Saccharomyces cerevisiae S288C: one gene and its partner. The gene in region 1 interacts genetically with each later gene. Each region holds a gene or a part of one and is shown in the gene's direction. Other genes may lie near its edges. The genes, in order: JLP2 and HXT1.

Evidence for each region.
Region 2: mutations in JLP2 (region 1) and HXT1 together harm fitness more than expected from each alone (negative genetic interaction), as found in Saccharomyces cerevisiae (2 studies listed by BioGRID).

The regions. Positions count from the first base shown.
Region 1 is NC_001145.3:534,181-537,555, reverse strand, and holds JLP2 (Jlp2p), read left to right. Parts: upstream 1-1,985; coding exon 1,986-2,612; downstream 2,613-3,375. Other genes in the region: REC114 (Rec114p), read right to left, coding at 108-1,349; ribosome biosynthesis protein RRB1, read left to right, coding at 2,858-3,375.
Region 2 is NC_001140.6:290,360-294,521, reverse strand, and holds HXT1 (hexose transporter HXT1), read left to right. Parts: upstream 1-1,896; coding exon 1,897-3,609; downstream 3,610-4,162. UniProt on the Saccharomyces cerevisiae protein: Low-affinity glucose transporter. HXT1 is as well involved in the transport of mannose.

The DNA.
Region 1 (3,375 bases):
CATATTTGTAGTGGCAAAAGTTGTTAGTTAGTATTTCTTTGTCAAGTCAGAGAAAATGAGTGGATAAGAGGGGGAAACAGCTCAGTTTCTTGCAAATGCATACATACCCATTTCATGAATTCTTCGTCTTTCAACTTTTCCTTGATTAGCCGCTTAGATATTTTTCTTGACGCATTCCGATTAACGTTTTTAACTCTTATCGTTAATCCTTCGCTTGGCGATGCTTCTTTCCTCGTTTCATTAAGTGTGCCGTTAGGTAGCACTTCTTTATTTCTATCAGGGGTATGTGTATTTCCAGATTTTTGGGGGTTTGTTAGTTTATCATCAATATTTTTCTTATTACTGGTATTTTTCTTCGCCGTGTTGTCTTTCCCGGGGCTCCATATAATCGTTGGTGTTGCATCTAAACCAGTGACGCTTTGCATCTGACTTTCCCTTTCCTTTGGTATATGAATAGTTTCTAATAAACCAGTTTTACACAGAGCAATCTCCTTTCTTGAAGTAAAATCAGAAGTGGTGTCGACTTTTTTCTTTTTGTTTTCTGCATTAGGAAGGCAGTTGGTAGTGTTTGGTGGAGATTGAGAAACCTCCAATGGCTGTACAATTAGCGACTCAGGACGACCCAAAACAGTTTGCGTAGCCATTGGAGTGTTGAGGTCTTGTGAAGATTGTACTACATTTAAATCCGTGTTTGGCCATATTTGTTGAGCTATTTGAATGCTGTCGTGTGGTAAAGTTATATTTGAACGATTATTTGACTCTCTTTCAGATTCTTCCTGATAACGTTGACTGAAATCCATAATCATGTTTTGAGTTTGAAATTGCGTGTTCGGATTTGTGTAGCTACTAACTTTTGGACCTTCTGTGAAACAGACCTTTGTACCGTTATTATTGCCTTGCACCTGGCTTGTTATTGTACTCTGGGCTATTGATGTCCTAGCTGTCCTTAAAACAAAATTAAGGTTCTTTAAAGAAACTACAGTCCTGTTGAACTCAACGTCATTTGGCAAATTCATCTGAAACCTCCTTAACATTCTGGGTCCGAATTCTTCGGAGATATATTTACAAGAGATTATGGGGCTTTTACATGAAAATTGTATTAAATCTTGATTATCCCCCAGCGGCAGGCGAATATTTTCGAGAAGTGTTGAATTATTGAGAACCACATTGATCAGAATTTGTCTAGAGTCCATTAGAAGAACCCGAAATTGGAGAGTGCAGTTAGCGGAAAGGTGTTGCCACTTGTCTATCTGAGGAGGCTCAAGCATTGATTGAAAACCATTTGGAGCGAAGGAGGGAATTGTATACTTGGAGTATTTCTTTATTACAACTGAGCAGTACTCGTACATTTTTCTCTTTTTTTTTATTTTAGTTCTCTCTTTCAAACTTAACTTGACGATATGTTAAAACCTTCTCCTTTGCTTTTTATAAGTTAGCCGCCCACCTTGTAACGAAATTCTCTATTAGTAAAAAAAAGTTGATATTCTTTCAGGAACCCACCAAAATGGGCTTCGTATTTAAGTATGTATTAATAATTTATGTTATTATTATTTAAAATACTGAATACTTTAACAGTCATTTAAGTGTTTATGAATATGCAGACGGTAAACTGAATTTTATTTTATTCCTACAAAATCACATCGTAGAACATATAAGTAGTCATTACATCTATAAAAAAATTAACAGTGGTTTGAAAACATTCGTTGTGCTCGATCAATCATTTGAAAAGAGACTTCTTATTTTTTCTGAATGCTAGATGCTATTTACTTTCATCTTTTATACTCTTAATTTATATTTAGTTTAGGATATAGATTATCCTAGGCTTTAATATTTTAATGGAAAAAAACTACAATAAGATTGAAACAAAGAACTTGGATAAAAAAACAAAACAACTCTGTAGACCAGAGGACTGCCTTATACTTAAAATTTAGAAAGTAAGCGAATAGAATTATAAGGCTCAATTGAAATTCAACTTTTCAATAACAATGGTGTATTTCTATGAATCAAAACCAACTGAGTATTCAACACCTTACCAAATTGTGATGGGCAAAGATAAGTTTGAAAACGATCTACTTATCAAATGGAGCTATAGGGAGTTAAACTATGTTTGGTTTCACGCGGATAAGTACTCAAGTGGTCATGTTTATTTAAAGTTACGCCCAAATGAAAAAACAATCGATGACATACCGCAAGAAGTGATATGTGACTGTCTGCAGCTATGTAAATCAGAATCCATTCAAGGAAACAAAATGCCACAATGCACCATCTTGATAACACCATGGCATAACTTGAGAAAAAACAGGTATATGAATCCCGGTGAAGTATCATTTAAGTCTCTAAGACAATGTAGAAAAATGGAATGCGGAGCACGAGATAACAAAATACTAAACAGACTGGCCAAGACAAGGGTAGAACTATTTAATAATGTGGAAGCTACACTTAACGAAGCAAAGAAGACCAAAAATGGTGATTTTTTTGTAAACTATATTGAGTCGAATAGATCAAATCTTATTGAAGAAGAAAAGCTAAGGAAAGTAGCGAAAAAAAACCAAAAGAAGAAGAACAAACAGTCTAAAGATGAGGTTACTGACGATATGCAACTGGAAGTATGATATCATCTACATAACGTAGACGCTTCAAAATAGAGTACCATTTGTACTTACATCGTGATCACGTTTCTTTTTTCGTTCGAGCCGTGAAAATTTTTTTCCTTTCAGCGAAAAATACAGAAAATAAAATCCAACTGAATTTAGCGATGAGATGATCATTTCTTATAGGGATTGTAGTTGTTTGAATTTGTAGGTAAATAGTTATATCACCTACTCTCCGTTTTCATATACACGGAAATAGCACCATAATGTCGAAAAGGTCTATCGAGGTCAACGAGGAACAAGATAGAGTGGTCTCTGCTAAAACAGAATCTCACTCTGTTCCTGCTATTCCCGCCTCTGAAGAGCAAGATGCTCCCAAGAATGACCTAGAAGAACAATTGAGTGATGAATTTGATAGTGATGGTGAAATTATTGAAATTGATGGCGATGATGAGATTAATGACGAAGATGACCTTAGGAAAAAGCAAGAAGAAGCTGAAACTTTAGTACAAAAGGACCAATCCGAAGGCAACAAAGAAAAGATCCAGGAGCTTTACTTACCCCATATGTCTCGTCCATTAGGGCCAGATGAAGTCCTTGAGGCTGATCCCACTGTTTATGAAATGCTACATAATGTCAATATGCCATGGCCATGCTTGACATTAGATGTCATTCCAGATACACTAGGTTCTGAACGTAGAAACTATCCACAGTCTATTTTGTTGACCACGGCTACTCAATCTTCCAGGAAAAAGGAGAATGAACTAATGGTTCTAGCACTTTC
Region 2 (4,162 bases), on another chromosome or scaffold:
TCCGTGGTTAATAGGGCTGCCTGTTATTCCTTTAATTCAACTAAATTACGTATGTCTAATAATATCAAAATCATCATGACGTTTTTGTTTTTTTTCTTTATTTTAAGTAGGATCAAACCAGGGGAGAAAGGGTTGCTACGCCTAACAACAAGAACTTGTATATCGTTTCTTGTTACTTATACTTTTCTGCCCACTTCTCTCTTACAACTGCTCGAGCTCATCCTTGGTAATAAAACAGTGAGGACGGTTACTCGAGGTTTCAACAGGGGAAAATAAATTTATATGATGAATCAAGAGCCCCGTTCTTTTACCGTATTATCCTTCATACTACATACTAGGGAAAGAACTGAAAACTCCGCTACCTGCTGTAACAGCGCATAATAAAAAGCAAGAATATAGACAGTTACTGTTGTTTACGTTCTTTGATGACATCATTCTCATCAGACATACAGAAACACATCCTTTTTGTCTACCCCGTATTTATTCCAACTTCAAAGTATAGGTACCGTCCGGTTATACTCTCATATACTTTGTGGCAGTTTGCTTCTTTAAACCTTGTTAACCCAGAATATTTTCAGTGCAAAAAGCTTCCGATCCTCAAATACAGTGAGAGAAAAAGCAAACTTGTCTTCATTATTTTTCTGTTTGGCCCTGTCACGGTTCTTTTTATGGCCTTCTCGAAGGATATCCGTAGTCAATTATATTCACGTAGTTGCCAAAAGTAATTTTTGGAAAACTATTATTCCTCCGAGAAAACCTCACACAGAAATCCTTGCAGGTCTCATCTGGAATATAATTCCCCCCTCCTGAAGCAAATTTTTCCTTTGAGCCGGAATTTTTGATATTCCGAGTTCTTTTTTTCCATTCGCGGAGGTTATTCCATTCCTAAACGAGTGGCCACAATGAAACTTCAATTCATATCGACCGACTATTTTTCTCCGAACCAAAAAAATAGCAGGGCGAGATTGGAGCTGCGGAAAAAAGAGGAAAAAATTTTTTCGTAGTTTTCTTGTGCAAATTAGGGTGTAAGGTTTCTAGGGCTTATTGGTTCAAGCAGAAGAGACAACAATTGTAGGTCCTAAATTCAAGGCGGATGTAAGGAGTATTGGTTTCGAAAGTTTTTCCGAAGCGGCATGGCAGGGACTACTTGCGCATGCGCTCGGATTATCTTCATTTTTGCTTGCAAAAACGTAGAATCATGGTAAATTACATGAAGAATTCTCTTTTTTTTTTTTTTTTTTTTTTTTTTACCTCTAAAGAGTGTTGACCAACTGAAAAAACCCTTCTTCAAGAGAGTTAAACTAAGACTAACCATCATAACTTCCAAGGAATTAATCGATATCTTGCACTCCTGATTTTTCTTCAAAGAGACAGCGCAAAGGATTATGACACTGTTGCATTGAGTCAAAAGTTTTTCCGAAGTGACCCAGTGCTCTTTTTTTTTTTCCGTGAAGGACTGACAAATATGCGCACAAGATCCAATACGTAATGGAAATTCGGAAAAACTAGGAAGAAATGCTGCAGGGCATTGCCGTGCCGATCTTTTGTCTTTCAGATATATGAGAAAAAGAATATTCATCAAGTGCTGATAGAAGAATACCACTCATATGACGTGGGCAGAAGACAGCAAACGTAAACATGAGCTGCTGCGACATTTGATGGCTTTTATCCGACAAGCCAGGAAACTCCACCATTATCTAATGTAGCAAAATATTTCTTAACACCCGAAGTTGCGTGTCCCCCTCACGTTTTTAATCATTTGAATTAGTATATTGAAATTATATATAAAGGCAACAATGTCCCCATAATCAATTCCATCTGGGGTCTCATGTTCTTTCCCCACCTTAAAATCTATAAAGATATCATAATCGTCAACTAGTTGATATACGTAAAATCATGAATTCAACTCCCGATCTAATATCTCCTCAGAAATCCAATTCATCCAACTCATATGAATTGGAATCTGGTCGTTCAAAGGCCATGAATACTCCAGAAGGTAAAAATGAAAGTTTTCACGACAACTTAAGTGAAAGTCAAGTGCAACCCGCCGTTGCCCCTCCAAACACCGGAAAAGGTGTCTACGTAACGGTTTCTATCTGTTGTGTTATGGTTGCTTTCGGTGGTTTCATATTTGGATGGGATACTGGTACCATTTCTGGTTTTGTTGCTCAAACTGATTTTCTAAGAAGATTTGGTATGAAGCACCACGACGGTAGTCATTACTTGTCCAAGGTGAGAACTGGTTTAATTGTCTCTATTTTTAACATTGGTTGTGCCATTGGTGGTATCGTCTTAGCCAAGCTAGGTGATATGTATGGTCGTAGAATCGGTTTGATTGTCGTTGTAGTAATCTACACTATCGGTATCATTATTCAAATAGCCTCGATCAACAAGTGGTACCAATATTTCATTGGTAGAATTATCTCTGGTTTAGGTGTCGGTGGTATCACAGTTTTATCTCCCATGCTAATATCTGAGGTCGCCCCCAGTGAAATGAGAGGCACCTTGGTTTCATGTTACCAAGTCATGATTACTTTAGGTATTTTCTTAGGTTACTGTACCAATTTTGGTACCAAGAATTACTCAAACTCTGTCCAATGGAGAGTTCCATTAGGTTTGTGTTTCGCCTGGGCCTTATTTATGATTGGTGGTATGATGTTTGTTCCTGAATCTCCACGTTATTTGGTTGAAGCTGGCAGAATCGACGAAGCCAGGGCTTCTTTAGCTAAAGTTAACAAATGCCCACCTGACCATCCATACATTCAATATGAGTTGGAAACTATCGAAGCCAGTGTCGAAGAAATGAGAGCCGCTGGTACTGCATCTTGGGGCGAATTATTCACTGGTAAACCAGCCATGTTTCAACGTACTATGATGGGTATCATGATTCAATCTCTACAACAATTAACTGGTGATAACTATTTCTTCTACTACGGTACCATTGTTTTCCAGGCTGTCGGTTTAAGTGACTCTTTTGAAACTTCTATTGTCTTTGGTGTCGTCAACTTCTTCTCCACTTGTTGTTCTCTGTACACCGTTGACCGTTTTGGCCGTCGTAACTGTTTGATGTGGGGTGCTGTCGGTATGGTCTGCTGTTATGTTGTCTATGCCTCTGTTGGTGTTACCAGATTATGGCCAAACGGTCAAGATCAACCATCTTCAAAGGGTGCTGGTAACTGTATGATTGTTTTCGCATGTTTCTACATTTTCTGTTTCGCTACTACCTGGGCCCCAATTGCTTACGTTGTTATTTCAGAATGTTTCCCATTAAGAGTCAAATCCAAGTGTATGTCTATTGCCAGTGCTGCTAACTGGATCTGGGGTTTCTTGATTAGTTTCTTCACCCCATTTATTACTGGTGCCATCAACTTCTACTACGGTTACGTTTTCATGGGCTGTATGGTTTTCGCTTACTTTTACGTCTTTTTCTTCGTTCCAGAAACTAAAGGTTTATCATTAGAAGAAGTTAATGATATGTACGCCGAAGGTGTTCTACCATGGAAATCAGCTTCCTGGGTTCCAGTATCCAAGAGAGGCGCTGACTACAACGCTGATGACCTAATGCATGATGACCAACCATTTTACAAGAGTTTGTTTAGCAGGAAATAAACTAAACAAGCTCAATATGCATATTTTAATGACTTATACAGTATTTAATTTCTCAGTAAATTTTATAAAGGTGATATTATATTGGTGTTAAAACAAAATTCTTGTCAAATTCATAAACAGATGTTCTTTTCTTTGCTAGTTCTTGACCTTCACCAAGGAACAAGAAATTTCATTCTGGCACTCTTCCGAGGAAAAATTTTATATGATATAGTATGGGTTAATACCACATAGGCGCTATACATAGTTCAAACGCCCGCTTATGATTTCGGAAAAATGTCAAATGAATAGAAATTGACAACGCTGCTGCTTCAACATCTAGTAGTGTTACTTAAGCCTGTTAGGATGTTGTTTTTAGGTATTTATAATTACTAGCAATAATTTCCATTAACAGATAACCGAGTCGATCTCAATGGATATACAGTTGCCAATCATATGTATTTTCTGACTGGCACAGGGAGACACGAAAAACACTTGCTTGATAAGAGGTGAAGCAGTAAAGAAAAGACGACAAGTAAAAAAAAAATGACGAGAAAATGCACGCTACCATCGAAAA